Oryza sativa Japonica Group: one gene and its partners. The main gene of each other region encodes a partner of the protein of the gene in region 3 in a complex. Links are inferred from orthologs where the notes say so. Each region holds a gene or a part of one and is shown on either strand. Other genes may lie near its edges.

The links. Proteins that work in one complex are often made in the same cells at the same time.
Region 1: probable cleavage and polyadenylation specificity factor subunit 1 (region 3) and cleavage and polyadenylation specificity factor subunit 2 share a complex: the UniProt entries of both Arabidopsis thaliana proteins name them as parts of the CPSF complex. The link is inferred for Oryza sativa Japonica Group from reciprocal best matches to the Arabidopsis thaliana genes CPSF160 and CPSF100.
Region 2: probable cleavage and polyadenylation specificity factor subunit 1 (region 3) and cleavage and polyadenylation specificity factor subunit 3-II share a complex: the UniProt entries of both Arabidopsis thaliana proteins name them as parts of the CPSF complex. The link is inferred for Oryza sativa Japonica Group from reciprocal best matches to the Arabidopsis thaliana genes CPSF160 and CPSF73-II.
Region 4: probable cleavage and polyadenylation specificity factor subunit 1 (region 3) and cleavage and polyadenylation specificity factor subunit 3-I share a complex: the UniProt entries of both Arabidopsis thaliana proteins name them as parts of the CPSF complex. The link is inferred for Oryza sativa Japonica Group from reciprocal best matches to the Arabidopsis thaliana genes CPSF160 and CPSF73-I.

Annotation. Positions count from the first base shown.
Region 1 is NC_089043.1:27,169,917-27,174,029, forward strand, and holds the start of cleavage and polyadenylation specificity factor subunit 2, read right to left. Parts: upstream 2,807-4,113; 5' UTR 2,732-2,806; coding exon 2,583-2,731; intron 1,618-2,582; coding exon 1,449-1,617; intron 1,366-1,448; coding exon 1,269-1,365; intron 1,200-1,268; coding exon 1,073-1,199; intron 992-1,072; coding exon 876-991; intron 497-875; coding exon 402-496; intron 318-401; coding exon 166-317; intron 1-165. Other genes in the region: uncharacterized LOC9271620, read left to right, coding at 3,156-3,237, 3,931-4,043. UniProt on the Arabidopsis thaliana protein: CPSF plays a key role in pre-mRNA 3'-end formation, recognizing the AAUAAA signal sequence and interacting with poly(A)polymerase and other factors to bring about cleavage and poly(A) addition. Required for antisense-RNA-mediated gene silencing.
Region 2 is NC_089043.1:18,259,393-18,263,585, reverse strand, and holds the start of cleavage and polyadenylation specificity factor subunit 3-II, read right to left. Parts: upstream 2,807-4,193; 5' UTR 2,677-2,806; coding exon 2,652-2,676; intron 2,570-2,651; coding exon 2,383-2,569; intron 2,279-2,382; coding exon 2,206-2,278; intron 1,770-2,205; coding exon 1,652-1,769; intron 1,535-1,651; coding exon 1,461-1,534; intron 1,340-1,460; coding exon 1,203-1,339; intron 672-1,202; coding exon 608-671; intron 241-607; coding exon 175-240; intron 1-174. UniProt on the Arabidopsis thaliana protein: Component of the cleavage and polyadenylation specificity factor (CPSF) complex that play a key role in pre-mRNA 3'-end formation, recognizing the AAUAAA signal sequence and interacting with poly(A) polymerase and other factors to bring about cleavage and poly(A) addition.
Region 3 is NC_089038.1:10,090,536-10,094,045, forward strand, and holds part of probable cleavage and polyadenylation specificity factor subunit 1, read right to left. Parts: intron 3,158-3,510; coding exon 3,029-3,157; intron 2,937-3,028; coding exon 2,763-2,936; intron 1-2,762. UniProt on the Arabidopsis thaliana protein: CPSF plays a key role in pre-mRNA 3'-end formation, recognizing the AAUAAA signal sequence and interacting with poly(A)polymerase and other factors to bring about cleavage and poly(A) addition.
Region 4 is NC_089037.1:36,887,665-36,891,913, forward strand, and holds the start of cleavage and polyadenylation specificity factor subunit 3-I, read right to left. Parts: upstream 2,807-4,249; 5' UTR 2,793-2,806; coding exon 2,622-2,792; intron 2,503-2,621; coding exon 2,405-2,502; intron 2,300-2,404; coding exon 2,254-2,299; intron 2,152-2,253; coding exon 2,002-2,151; intron 1,723-2,001; coding exon 85-1,722; 3' UTR 1-84. UniProt on the Arabidopsis thaliana protein: Component of the cleavage and polyadenylation specificity factor (CPSF) complex that play a key role in pre-mRNA 3'-end formation, recognizing the AAUAAA signal sequence and interacting with poly(A) polymerase and other factors to bring about cleavage and poly(A) addition.

The DNA.
Region 1 (4,113 bases), on a different chromosome or scaffold from region 3:
TAAGGAGAAAGTAATAGAGGAAACATGTCTATTGGGCTGTTGAAATGTAAAATAATAAGCTCATCATGAATCTTCAGGCTTGCAATGCATAGCAATTGTCAATATGCACAGAATAAAACAAAACGATGAACTGAAAAAAAGGAAAGTAACAAGAATCATTCGTACTTTAATAGGAAGGCATTGTCTCTAGTGTGTTCAAAAGACTTTGAGATTGAATCATTCATCCATTCAAGAAAACTCTTGACATAATCAACAGTACTCGTAGAAACATTTGTCAGAAAGTAGATAGGGTAGATCAAATGCCGTTGAGCCCAGTACTGCAATAAATCAAGACAAAAGGTGAACATATTATTGACATAACAAAATAAAACAGTACGAGAACAAGACCTTCAAGATTTCACCTGCTCCAATATCAAAAGAATTTCAAGAACTCTACCAGCTGTATCAATCGGCAGTAACACACTACCACCACCAGTTAGAACTTTCACTAATGCATCTGCATGAAACAGGATGTCAATTAGACATCACAAGAGGATTCCCATACAGTAACTAAAACAAACCATATACACGATAACATATATTTGGAGTCTAAAATATTAATAGTTTATTATTGAACTCAACAATGTGTAGCACTAAAAAATAATTGAGAAATAAAAAAAGTTGTGTCCAAGTTGCAAATTTGGAAAATAGAAGATATATTCATCAGTGCTACTTTGATGGAGAAAACATAAGTAAAAAACAGCTTCCAACAAAATTATCATGAGCTGTTACCTGCAACCATGGCTGTGTGGGTATAGTAGTAATGCTAGAGCTGAAAGCATTTGAAAAAGAGATAGAGATAGAGAGCTATGATAATAACATGTCCAGTGTTGTACCAATGAAATCTTGATCCTGCTGCCTTTTGTAGACATGGTTGTTCAAGGCATTGTATGCATCAGTTATCAGAACAGCTGGCCGTACAAATGATCCAAGAGCAGTACCATTCAAATGCCTGGAAAAGCACATTGCTGTTATTATTTGCTAATAAAGAGAAAACTAAAATGACAAGTAAATGACAAAGGAAGGATTTAACCTCTCTTTACGATGGTTGAAGTCAACAGCATAAACAACATCCTCCCCATCTTTTGTTATCTTCCATACCGTGCCACCCAAATCATGCCCAGCAACATGTGGAGCAATAACTATTCCTTCACCTTTATCTGCCAATCAATAGTATGTAAGGGGATGTAATTTAGCAAAGGATATACATCAACAGCATGCTTACTGACCATTCAAAAGGTGGTTCTGTGAGTACTTCAATCTAACAACATTTTGGAATGCAGCATCAATATCGTCCAAAGTAAACAAGTCAAAATCTGAAACTTGCTGCAAAGGAAAATAAAGAATGGTTAGATCCACTATATGCAATGAAACAAACAAGAGGTTAAAATGGACACTAGAAAGCTTACCCGTCGTGATATAAAGTAATCATACAAGGTTAAAATGCCAAGTCTAAATACAGGTTCTGTGGCATATACTGGTGCAGATAGTCCGAGATGTTTCATAGCATATGGCAAAGCTCCTAGATGCATGGTATCGGCATGAGACAAAAGAACTGCATCTATTGTTGGTGCAACCCTGAAAAAAAAATACTGATCAAATTCATAATCCATAAAAATACTGAAACATGTTCAAGTGTTCCCTTCAATCTTTACAGATGTGTAATTTGAATAATTGAACAACAAAGATCATGGGAGCTTAAAATGGAACTTTTGCATGATTTTGAGGCTACTAGTACCAAGCTGGTGAGATAATTGCTACTAAATCTATGCCATGATTACTCAACAATCAAGGAAGACGAACAAGAATAAGTTTATTCAGCATAGAAAAATAAATATAAATATGAGTCAGAGTTCAACCTGAAAGCAGGCTATCTATTACAGGGAGGCAAAAAATTGCCTTGATCATGCCACTCTATAATTGCCTTAAGATAGATATTCACCATTTAAGCAAATGAAAGCAATTACTGAAGGTTCCATGTAAAAACCACATGAAATGTTGAGGGGCAACGCCCAGTAAGACAAGCTTGAGAAGCAATATTAAGCACGGTTTAGAAACTCGAGCTACATCTTTGGCACATACTAATTAACAATTAAGGTCATACATAAACAACACATCAGTAAGTAGTCCATATGGTATGTATGCAGGATCATGGGCACAATGTAGAAGTGCATATGCGTTCGTGCACACGGACCCACCAACACAAGTGCATAACATGCACCAAGCCTGACTATGCACAAGCACACCCGAACACCTGTCGGACTCAGCAATTCAGTTGAGGCAAATCAATCTCCTAAACCGACGATCTCATTCGTTACATAGCAACACAGATAACCCTAAGATGACAAAATCACAGCAGAGCCGGAGAACCCTTCACTGTCTCCAAGTGTAGGCAATTGAACGAGCAGGTGGCGCGCATGGCAACCCCATCCCCATCCCATCCGAACTCATCGCAGCATGCGGCAAAGGAGAAAGACTAGCACCAAAGCAGCTGACCCCGACTAGCCAAGAGGAGAGTTAGGGCGAAAATGGTGGAAGCGTACTTGGCGAGGGGTTGGAGGTGGGAGGGGTCGCAGAGGTCGGTCCAGCCGCAGTCGAGGAGGAAGCGGAAGCCATCGACGGCGAGCAGGTAGCAGAGGGGTCCCTCACCGTACGCGCCACTCAACGGAGTCACCTGCACCGACGTCCCCATCCGATCGATCCCCTTCGCCGGCGGCGGCGGCGGCGGCGGCGGCGAGCAAGAAGTGGAATGAGAGAGAAAGAGTCCAAGTGTAGTAGTTGGGCCGCTCGAGAGGCTTATGCAGAAAAACTGTACATGGGCCGGGCTGAGGCCCATATACTTCCTCTTTTGTGTTGGTTTCCTTCACTTTCCTACTCGAGGCCGACGGAGCGTTGCGTCCGCCGCCGCCATTGTCACTCTCGTCTCCATCTGCGTCTCCGTCTTCGTCTCCGGCCAGCGAGCCCCTTTTCGCCGGCGACCTAGAAGCGAGAAATCCCAACAAATACACATCCAGAGAACCGGCTCGGCTCTGTCGCCTTCCCCTTTCCTGGGTGTTGGCTTGTTTGGTTGGATCTAAGCAAAGGCCTAACCGCGGCGATCTTCCGCCTCCCATCCCATGGACGGCGCGAGCGGCAGCGGGGAGCCGACGGCCAACGGGGAGAAGAAGCCCGACGAGCAACACTTCGATCCCAGCCGAAGTAAGGGTCTCTCTCTTTCTCACGCACCTTTAATTTTTGTTACCTTTTGTGTTCGTGCTCTAGATTTGGTTACTCCTATTCGGTACTAGAGTATAACAAATCACGACTCATACTGATTTGCTTTAGAGGGTTCAGGTTTTGTAAACTAGTATTGCTAACTAACAATTCGCCACGAATCAAATTGGAAATCTCACAGTCACACGAAATAAACATCTGCTGCACAACTAGGAATGCACAAAGATCCTATCAAATGCCATGGCCATGGCCTCAATTTTCGTAGCCCTTGGTCCATAATTCAGTTCACTTATAAAGCTTTCTGAGAGATGTGCATAGGATGGTAATTCTTGAACCAACATCTCAGTTTATTCGGGATGGAGTAAGTCTAGTATGTTGCAAAAAATTTGACTCTATATAAATGATTGGAGCAGGTATCCTATCCTACCAGATACTGAATAGAAGTACAATTGTTATGCATGTACTAGCTACCTTGCTAGTATATTGTCATGAGTGAGTTATGAAATGTCAAAGCTTTATCTCTCCATGATTTTCACATGGTACACTGGCCTCATTATAGTATTAGAGATATATTGAGTTCTGTTGATGCATTGCTTGCAAAATCTAAAAAACATTTTTCATTTGTAAAATAGTTGCCAGCATTCTTGTGCTTGTATATAATGCCATGGTGTTTTGAAGTGATAGGAATAATCAAAAGGAAGGCCTTGATTAAAGAACTGGCTGCTGCTTACCATGCTGAGTGTGTGGCATGCTGTAAAGAGCTTTTGCAGCTCCAGAAAAAGTGGGAGGAGGTCTGTATCTGTCCTTCTCCAAAATGGCAGATAATCCCGTGATTTACATTCCTCGCATTATTTTCAAACG
Region 2 (4,193 bases), on a different chromosome or scaffold from region 3:
TTTCGGAGTTTCAAGGCAATCTTAATTTGTTTTCCACATTACAGCAGTGTATCACTTCTGATTATGGAAGTTTCAAACAGCATACTCCAAAGGACATTTTTCCAAAAGGATCCTACTCTTAACCATTAAATTAAATGCATCATCACATATAATTAAGAGAGGAGTGGTGAGTACCTGTGCTCTTCCAAGAGCAAATGCTGGAATTAGAACTTTACCACCTCCAGAAACACACTTATGGACCTAGATAAAATACGCTCTCATTAAAGTGATGAATTTACTAAGTAGAAATTTGCAAGTAAAGATTATAAAGATTCAATGTGTCAACACAATCAACATGATTCAAGTATCAGAACTTGAAAAAGGGATAAACTCTTGGCTAATAACAAGTTGTACTTAGTATTTTGTGAGCATGAACTCCCTGGAGGTATTCATGCCATAGAAATGTACAAAACTACTTAAGTTTGCACAATGCTACAAGCCCAACCATCAGCATCGATAAATGTAACACATATCTTGCATCACCAAGGGGATTGCATAAGTGTTACAAAAGAAACCAAATAAAAAAAGCCCCAATAAAATTGGTAGTGTGAAGGTTCAGGTTTCATACTGCTTTTAAGAACTCCCTCTCTCGGGCATGCTTCGAGTCACGCACAGTTTTAGCATATGTTGATCTGCAGATAAAACTTCAGTTTAATACTTACACATTGAACATAAAACAGATACACCAAAGAACTGCACCTCAAATTCCGTATTGGTAAAACATTAAGACAACAGTACAGAACAAGGTAGACCATAATTCCATAAAAACCAAATATGGATTATATTAAAACGAAACATCACAAGAAAAATTTAGCAAAATACACCTACCTAATCATTAACTACAAAGGAGATTTCCAACTACATACAGGTCAAAGCAGAGGTTAACAACAGAAACCGGATACTGGTTTACTGGTACGTAGCTGTGTGGAAAACCTGATATCATAAAGATAGTTAATGGACACACAAGCACGCGCGCAAGCGCACACAAAAGATAAAAGAGCTATAAGAAACAAGACAGCAAAATTACTGCTAAAACATACCAAAGAACCTAATCCTGAGTGGCAATGATTCACTACAAGTCTACAACTACATCACTGGGTCAACATTTCAAAAGGAAAACATGATGCACAAGAGCATAACTATAATTTGAATTTGTAGCATACTCTGTTATCAACAGATCTAACTTCAGACGATCAATTTGCGCTGCTCCAAGGTGCCTATCTGGTGTCATATTGTAATCTCCAGTGTACACAATAGCAGCATCTCCAACTTTTGCATATATCATTGCAGCCCCTAGAACCTTGCATGTGGAAGAATGATGACTAATTAAGAAAGTACAGAACAACATTAATATTAATTTTCCAAGAATTTAAAAAATAACACTGCAGTTAATATGGGACAGAAAAGTATACAGCACATACATGTCCAGCATAATAGGCACGGATCGAAAGGTCCTTATCTACTTGAATGGTCTGCTTCAGGTCCAATGGTATAACTGAAATGTCCAATGAAATAACCAAATGAGAACTATCGTACATGCATACCTGTGTGCCAGCACAATATCTAAGTAGACTAGTAAAAGATATGTGAAAAGTGAACACAGAACATTTACCTTTCCTCATACAGCGTAGGATGTCTTCATAGCTATATTGCTCTTCCTCTCCTCTATGATCTACCATTACTTTCCGATAGTCTTCCAGCATCAATGGAGCTAAAGCCTTTGTCGGGTACTGCTTGAGGTACAACGATTTAAGTTATGAGATGAAGATCAATCACTCAGCAAGAGAAATCAAGCTTTCACATGCTACCGATGGACAATATCAGTTCACAGCACATCTCCTTTTGCGTATTATATACTTTGACAAGATCATCTCAATAAGATCAACAAGTTCACTGAACCCCTAGACCATCAAACATATTTACGCAGGACCATGACCACTATTAAGTACTGCAGTGACAGCCACAACTCACAAGCTCAATGGATATTAGTATTTGATAGCTAAGATGAATAAAAATCCAACCTATGACAAGTTAATTTGAAATTCAACCTCACTATAGCCCCTTTTTTTTTAATGAAACCCCATTCTACCTGGAACGGATACACCAAAGCTGCGCAATCATAATACTGAACAAATAAACATGAACTGGTTAGTGGTTACAACTCACCGTCATGTAAACTGGACCGTGGTAACCGCAGACCTCGGTGAAGTACGGCAGTGCTCCGATATGATCCAAATGGCTGCAACGCACAAACTTCACAAAGCTATTAACCGTGCAAGCAAACTGGATATGCTGCTACAGATCAAATTCGATTCAATTCAATTCGATTTTTGGCAGACGCACAAGTGGGTGATGACGACGCAGGAGATGGCGGCGGTGTAGTCGGCGGCGCCGTCGGCGAGGAGGCGGTCGAAGTCCGGGTAGCGGCGGCTGTCGCGGTGGCCCATGTGCATGCCGCAGTCGAACATGACGCGCTTCCCGCCGCCGAAGGTGACCACCACGCAGCTCTTCCCCACCTCCTGCCCCGCCCCTGCGCCATCGCCATCAATCCACGCGTGGTTCCCATCAATCAACCCGTGCGAGAAGAGGAACTCGAGGAGGACGAAGGGTACCTAGCACGAGGCACTCGATGGCCATGCCGCCGCCGCCGCCGCCGCCGCTTCTCCCCTCTCCCGGCGCCGCTCCACGCCGGAATCCCTCAACCACGCCTCCGTTGCCTCTCCGCCGCCTTCCTCGCCGCGCCGCCGAGGAGGGCGTGCGGCTGGTTGGGCTTGCCGGCTAGAAGAGTTGGGCTTTTGTGGGCCTCGGCCCAGTTCTCAGTAAGCCCATATCAGTGTGAGCCCATGGGCCCTGCTTGTCAGAGCCCAGTCAAACGCTTTATCTGCATATTAAGCCCATATCAATCTTGGCCCACCAAAAAGCCCAGCCGCTGCTTACTTTGGTCTCACTCTAGTCCCGTTCTTTTCTCCGACAAGAGTTGGATGAAGATTAACGGCATGTTCACTTTGAAGCCATTTTTAACCTTACCAAATTTTAGTAAAGTTACTAAAAAAGTGGCTACATTTAGTTTGTTGTCAAATTTTAGTAATTATATAAGAAATCCTACTAAAATTTTAGCAAGTTGTTGCCAAAATTTTGGTATTACTAAAATTTAGTAAGGTTTTTTTTGGCATAAAGTGAACAGGCCCTAAGATTTTCGTGGCACGCTTTCAAACTGATAAACGGCTCGTTTCGTGCGAAAAAACTTTATATATAAAAGTTGCTCTAAAATATCATATTAATTTATTTTTCAAATTTGTAATAATTAAAGCTCAATCGAATATACGTTAATACCACATCATTTTACATAAAAAAAAACTTAATATTCATTTTTATCTTCAGGGGATTCAATGATGAATATAAAGATGAATGTGAAAATTAAGTGTTTCACGTAAAACGAGATGATAATAACGTAAGATTAATTGAGTTTTAATTATTGCAAACTTGAAAAATGGATTAATCTGATATTTTAGAACAACTTTCATATAGAAAATTCTTGCACAAAACACATCGTTTAACGGTTTAAAAAGCGTGCCACGAATATCCAAAACTTAATCCACTTTTTTTAAGTGGAAACGAATGGAGCCTAGTCAACTCGCCCACGTGGACCAATTGTTCATCGAGAAAATCCCACCCTCTTCTTCCTCCTCCGAATTTTCCCAATTTTTTTTTGCTCTTTCCACGAGGCGACGACGGCGACGATGAGCGCGGCGGCGGAGGACGTGGTGCACAGCGGCGGGTGCCACTGCGGTCGAAGTCCGGGTAGCGGCGGTTGTCGTGGTGGCCCATGTGCATGCCGCAGTCGAACATGACGCGCTTCTCACCGCCGAAGGTGACCACCACACAGCTCTTCCCTACCTCCTACCCCGCCCCTGCGCCATCGCCATCGCCATCAATCCACGCATCATTCCCATCAATCAATCAAATCCGTGCGAGAAGCGGAGAGGGAGAGAGAGGAGTGGAGGACGACGAAGGGTACCTAGCACAAGGCACTCGATGTCCATGGCGCCGCCGCCGCTTCTACCCTCTCCCCCGGCGCTGCTCCACGCCAGAATCCCTCAACCACGCCTCAGTTGCCTCTCCGCCGCCTTCCTCGCCGCGCCGCCGCCACCGCC
Region 3 (3,510 bases):
TTTCACAATGTAAGACTTTCTAGCATTGCCCACATATATGTAGATGTTAATGAATCTAAACACATACATATGTCTAGATTCATTAACATCTAAATGAATGTGAGCAATGCTAGAAAGTCTTACATTGTGAAACGGAGGAAGTAGCATATAACACATAAATTATATCTTATAAAATAATAGTAATGCAAAAATTTGAAACTTATAAACAAACTATTATGCTGCGTAACGAGGCTACACAAAACAACATCATTATTTTTTGAAATTTCGGATGGGATAAATCGATTGTTAATCTTATGTCTATAAAGGCATTTTTCTAAGAAATATTGTAGAACAATTGATATGCTCAGTGGTATGTTATAGAAAGAGGTAGTCAATGGCAAATTGTTGAACCAGGACAAACTCAATGGCATAGAATAGATTTTCTCTTAATTTAAATATGCAAAAGGTAGCATTGGAAATGCACCCACCAAGTACAAGAAATCTATACTACTTTAAATGTTAGTGGTGGTGGTGGTGGTTCTGCCACCAACCTTCTGACATGTGGGGACCACAGATCCATAGGAGGGGAACGGGAATCCTCGCCTACTCCCCCGTTCACCTCCTTGCCTTGGACATTGCCCATGGAACTCGCAACAGGAATTGTGCCGCCCATGCTTGGATCTGGCAGGGCGCCAGCTTCTGATGCCACTGTATTTGTACAGCAGTGCAGAGACTCACCACTGTTTGTCAATTTGGCGGGGCAGCACGGTAGCTGAGCGTGCTTCGCCAATGCTTGAATCCTTCCGCCATGGTCAATTCCACCACAACGCACCGCTTGTTGGCTGTTTTGTTGCTGCTGCTGCTCAAAGAGCACCATAGCGCTCAGGTTGAGCGGATCTGGTGGTCCCGGGCTCGGCGCTGCCGGTTCACTTGCTAGAGGGAGAGGAAGGGGACGGGAATAAATCGTACTAGGGGAAGGGGACAGAATTGCAGACGTGACCCTGCTAGATAGACTCGCCAAAGAAGGGACTGGAGGCAGGTGGTGCTGGAGAGGGCCAGGGGCTGGCGCCGATGGCGCTTGAGAATGGAGGAGATAGGAGTGGCAACGTTGGAGAAGGGAGGAAGCATGGCGTGGTCCAGCTCATAGAGGGAGGAGAGGACGCAACGAATGGTGCAAGCTGCAGGCCGCTGGCAGGTGTAAATGGGAGTTAAGGTTAGCAAGTTGTAAATGGGCCAGGCCTTTCCTGCTGGTGTACGAGAGTGTAGCCGGCCTGCCTGATATCACAGCAGTGCTGTATTGATAGAAATCAATTTATTAAGGACTGAATTGTCATAACTTATTATGCAATGTGCATATGTTTGTGTCTTTTTGCCCTCACAAGCAGAATTGTACTGACCTGTATTGCACCTAAATAACATGAATTCACATTAAATAGAGAAGATGATTAATTCAGCAGGCATCCAGAAAGTGAATGAAAAAAAGACTTGCGTCAGTTTTTCATCATGAAGCAACAGTGCTCTGTGCCCCTGCCTAGCTCAGCATGTATTTAGAAACTGATGGCAAAAATTGACTAAAACAGTTAAACAATTTTATGCTTTAAAATGTACTCCCTCCAGATAATAATAGCTAAATTTAGCTAAACTTTTAGAGTTTGGACTGAGGTAGTATGACAAAGGTTCTCTTTTTAAGATTCCATGGCAACATATGAGCAGATTAGCTAGTAATAAAAAAAATACATTATAGTCTATATTAACACTGGCTAGCACAGGTTTCTTGTTATGATCAAAGGGAACAGTTTTCAGGTTCCCAGAACTTGAGTTTGAGAGAAACCAAATGGTGCACACATTTGACGGATATTTTGGTTTGGTGTAGTACTATTGATGATGTCATTCCTGTGGTCGAGTATGCAGTTCCTACTCCTTTTAAAAAACAGTAAGAGGGATATCACTTCAACTCAAAAGTATGGTAACTACTTTATTTTTAACTCCACACTATGTTTTTACTATGCAAAAAACATTTAGCTAAATACACAAAAAAAAAATTCATCTGTAATATCAATTGTTAAAATATCAAAATATTACTTTAATCATTTTCTCCACATTTTTTTGGTTGTTTTACTGTTCTGGCTGGGGAAATATTTTCTGGTCAGGAAAACATGTCATTTTAAAAATCCAGTCAGAAAAATGTAACTTTAACCACTAATGTATAACCCCAATAAATTTTAATATTATGAAACTAATTTTCAAGACAAATACACACATGAATTTTATGTTCCCCAACTAGATATTATAGAAGATATTGATGATGACATGACGTACATCCAAAACAACTTTTCATGACCTGATGGAACACTATATAATTAATGTTATGTTTGTAACATGCAATAAGAACAGTTAGTGGCTGTGTCGTACATCTTTGTTATGAGAAAAGAAGTTGTAGTCAGTACAATGCATGAACACTGGAAAATCCAAAGTCCCAGCTGGCTCATAGGCATTAAGCTCCAATTATACTAACCTCCACAATAGAAGTCAGGGTTGGCTCAAAACTCCAAAGCTAAAACATCAGGTAAGGCCAGATTCAGGGAACCACTATTTACATAGCCTTGTGTATGAAGAAACAATTAATGCATTATTTCTTTCTATTTAATTGTTCCTATCAGCATTATGCATGGACTTTCGAGGAAAAATGATGCCTAGAGAACAGAAAACAGGAACTAAACCAAAAGTTACGTGCTCAAAACCTAAAAGCATATTAATTGAACCAAAAGCTATTCAATACTCACAATGTTCAGGCTCACAACATGCAAAGGGGCATCATAGAATGCAACAGCAGTCAATTCAGCACCAGTCCACTTGTTTAATGTGATCTTAGGACCAGAAGCTATCAGCAGATGACCTTGAAGAGACGCAACAGCTGATACAGCACCTTTACTCTCTTTTGAGTAGACTTCAGTGACCTGCAATTAGTGTTTACATGTTATCAAATCAATCGATACGTAACGGAAGTAATAACCTTTTTCCCAATTGCAATAATGCTCCCTCACAGTACCAGATTTTGAGAATTTTCACTTTTCGTGAAAGAGAACAGAAGCACACGTCCTCTAGCAGCTACATCCTCCCCAAGAACATAAGCAGTCCCAATGGCCAACAGGGTCTCATTTTCCTTGGTGGTTGTATTCTGAAGTAAAAATGCATAACTGTTCAGTGAATAATATAATTAAACCTACAGACATGTGTACCTTTGATCATTAAATTTTCAAACAAGATAAATCTCAAGCATAGAAATGACATGGCAACCATGCATTTGGAAGAAAAGAAGATAGAAAAAGGAAGTAATGATGACTTTATTATAGCTGACAGTTTATGCTAACAGCTCCATAATTGAATTATAAAGGGTCAAATATAGAGTATAGAGGGCATTTAGTTTGCAAAAATGTGCTTGTGGGTTGCTAAAATATGGTGTCTTCAACCAGACAGGTTCACTTGGTTTGTCACAGAAGTTCATATAGTTTGGTTTCAAGTGGGAATGAG
Region 4 (4,249 bases), on a different chromosome or scaffold from region 3:
GCTCATCATGTGCAGACAGGTAATGCTACTAAGTTCATCTAGGAAACATTGGACACGTTTAAGCGTAACTTTAACGCCTTCAGCTCAAGAAGATATAAGCGGGATTGGTCTCACAGCACCCTGTATACGACGGAATGCAGTCTTGATCCTTTCTCTCAGTGTAGCATTTTCACATTCAACACCACCACTCCTCCCATCCAAGTGTGCTACTTGTCCATCCACAGATATAACAAGTTTCCCTTCCTCTGCAACTTTGACATCACCAAAAAGTGACACCATAAGAGCATAAACTACCTTCTGGGCCACCCTTTCCGTCTCTTCCTGTGTCTTCACTGCTTCTTCAACTGGGACAACTTTGGGACCTTCACGGCCTATGTTCAAGACCATGGCGACCACAGAATCAGACACCATATCACTGATAGGATCAGACGACCACTGCAATGTAACATAGCTTTCTGATTCCAGGCGAATGGTCACTCTCTCATGCACAATCAATGTTGGAACATCAGACTCCTCTGTTGATGACTCCACGCTCTCATATATTTGCTTCAGTCTGTACTTTATGACTTCAAAAGAACCAGAATATGGGACGGCAATCCTTTGGGTAATGTTAGCTGTAGATAGCTGCGTGTACACACGGAGATCCTCAGGAGCCATAATTTGATATGTGAATCCCTTCTTTACAAGCAAGCCATTAACTGATTCTCCAGCTTCCGGTACCTTTTCAGCCAACCTGCCAATTGTCTTGGCCATTTTCTCAGAACTGAAATACATCTCCACTGATTGGCAATTCTTGGGGTTAACAACTTTTATATTTGTCCCATCAAACTGAGAAATAAGCTTCTGCTTAAGTCTTGACATCTCATTTGCTTCCCCGTGTACAAGAACAATGTTGGGTGGCTGGAGCTCATCCAAGAAGGTGCTTGTCTGAGGGAAATCAGCATGAGCAGAAAAGGAAATATAGTGGACCTGCATATGAAGAGGAGCAGTGAGCCCATTCGCCAGTGTCACTTCTCTTGGCTCGTTAATAATGGTCTTTGCAAGGGTGCCTTCCACAACATAACCTGGAATAACACATGAATTCTTCTTATCTGTGCACCATTTGTCAAAGAGCTGCCTGGAGAGGCCACTCTGGAGACCACCTGGGCTTGCCATAACCACTGATGGACCCACATCATGAAAGTTATCTATGCTATTCAAAGACTCAATATGCTTGAAATGGAAGGGATTAGATTGTGCAAACTGGTTCCTAATCCTTTCATTCATGGAGTTGATGTATGTCTGGTAGACAGCCATGCATTTCTTGGCAAGAGGGGAGGCATAATAGATTGGAATCTTATGGAGCTCTGGGTGGTTGGCCCAATACTCATCCAGGATAAGTAGCAGCTCTTGAGCTCTTCCAAGAGCAAAGGCTGGGATAAGAACGCGACCACCCTGCGAGACGGTCGTGTGTATTACATCAGTGAAGCGCTTCTCTCGTACATGGCGGGGTTGGTGCTGCTGCACGCCATAAGTTGACTCGATAATGCAAATATCAGGGGAGAACTGGGGAAGTTCAGCAGCTTTCAGGTGGCGATCTTCCTCACGGGAGTAGTCACCAGTGTAAAGAACGCGAACCCCAGCAATGTCCACCATGAACATTGCAGCGCCAAGTACATGGCCAGCAGTATAGCACCAGAAGCGTATGCCATTAACTTCCAATGTCTGGTGGAAGTCTATGACCTGCAAGGCATTTTTATGTTAACAAAAGTATTCATTCACTCCATGAAATACATACAAGCTTTCGATCATCACAAGAAGAATCAACAATATGCTATATGGAAGGAAATGGTCAATGTTTACAAAGCAACAATCAGATGTTACAGGTTTCTCAGTTGATTATCAACCATCTAGAGGATTTCTGTCCATTCAAATTTGTTCTAACATATGCATTTGAAAGGGGTCGACAAAGTGCTGTACTGCTATATAGGCAATTTAAATCCATTCAGGGAGATAAAATACCTCAATTTTATCCATGGAACGAAGAATGTCTTGCTCGTCAAACAGCATATCCTCCACAGAAACTTTGCTGACTTTGACATAATCGGAAAGGAGCAGCCTGTAGATGGCCTTTGTGGCATGGGTCATGAACACGCGCCCCTTGAATGTCGTCTGCAAATAAAACCAGAGCAACTTGAGGATGCTGAATGGTATCAGGGCAATAGCTGAGCACTTACTGTCGAAGCAAAAAAACGGAAGATGGTGGAACATTACCTTCTCCAAGAAGTAGGGAAGAGAGGCAGCATGGTCCAAGTGAAAGCTGCAAATTTTAAGGGCGAAGTTAAGCAAGAGACGCACAGATTTGACAGAAGGGGCAAAGAAAATAAAAGAAAAAGGGTGAAAAGAGAGTGGGGGGAATAAGTACTGGGTGATTAGGAGGACATCAATGGTGGAGGGATCGATCTCATCGAAGTAGGGGAGCGCCGCCATGCCGGAGTAAGCCGGGTGGATGCCGCAATCGAACTATCCAAGAATCCAAACCACACCACACCACATGACAAACAAAAGCAGAAATTATCATAAAAAAGAAAGCAGTGGAAGCTAGGGTTTGGAGGGAAAGAGTGGGGGGATTGGATGCTCACGAGGACGGTGCGGCCCTTGAATGACATGTAGACGCAGGAGCGGCCGACCTCGTTGCCGGCGCCCAGCGGAGTGATGATGAGCTGGTCTCCCTCCCGCCCGCCGGAGGCCTGCCGCTTCCCCGGCGGCCCCCCGGCGGTCGGTGCGGCGGCGGCGGCGACGGACGACGCCATTTTCCCCTTCACTTGCTGACGAGCGGAGAAGGAAAGACCTTTTAGGGCTTTGGACACGGCGGACTCGAAGCAGGCTGAATTAAGTTGGGCCCGGAAGGGCTTGCAGTCCAAGCAGCCCTGGAGCTGGACAGTAAGTTCACTTTAGCTCCCTTAACCAATCTAATTTGTATCTTGAACCGCAATTACCGGGATTTCTAGCCCTCGGCCCTTCGCCGCCAACACTGCTCCAGATCCTGCACCGAAGTGGAGAGGAAGAGAAACATAGAGAGAGAAGGGAGAAAGAGGGAAGAGCAAGAAGGATAGAGGGGAGATGGCACGGGGGCCTCATATTTTTTATTGTGTGAATGACGAATGGGGCTCACACACATATTTTTTTTTAATTCTAATGCCATCTAAACTCCATGTCAACACTCACGTCCGTGAAACCGTCCTCCAAAACTGCTGAGGGAGTCAAATTGCATCGGTTTTAATAGTTGAGGGATCAAGATATCCCATATTGGAGTTGAAGGAAACGAATTATATTGGTTGAGATATCATGGAGCTGGAGCATAACTTTAGCACAACTCAGCTCCAGCTTCACGTCTTCTAGAGCTAGAGCCTAGCCTAACAATTTCAGTTCCAACTTAAATGGATCAGAGTTGGATGGGGAACTCTCACAAAATGAACTAGAGATGTAGAGCTGGGTTTAGACTGCTCCACAACTAAATTCTAGACCTAACGTCTGGAGCTAAATTTAGGAGTTGGAGCTCTACCAAATAGACCCAGAGAAATTCGATAGCAGGCATGGAGCTAGCCCATCGAGCTAGACTAATGGGGAGAAGAAGTTGAGTCGTGCAGGCTTGACGTACGCAACCGTCCTTGCATTGATCTATAGGTGTCTTAGGTGGTGTTTGGATCCAAGGGCTAAAATTTTAGTCTCTATCACATCGGATGTTTTTGACACTAATAAGAAGTATTAAACTTAGACTAATAATAAAACTAATTGTATAAATGAGAGCTAATTCGCGAGATAAATTTTTAAGCCTAATTAATCCATAATTACCACATGTTTACCGTAGCATCACATAGACTAATCATGGATTAATTAGGCTCAATAGATTTATCTCGCGAATTAGTCCAGGTATGGTATGAGTTTTGTCATTAATTTACATTTAATACTTCTAATGAGTGTCTAAATATCCGATGTGATAGGGACTAAAATTTTAGTCCCTGATCCAAACAACCCGTTAGATTCGAGGGCTAGTTTATTCAGTTTGAGGAATTTTAATCCATAGAAATAGGAAAGTGAAAAAAAAATAAATGCACGTATCAATTCATATGAATTTTTTCAAAAGATTTGAGTGAACGGAAGTCTTCCTATGTTTTTTCTCTACAACTTAAAGGAAAAGAAAAAATTCGTTTGGTTTTCCTATAACTTATTTATACAAACCGAATGGGAACTGTAGAAATTATTTTTG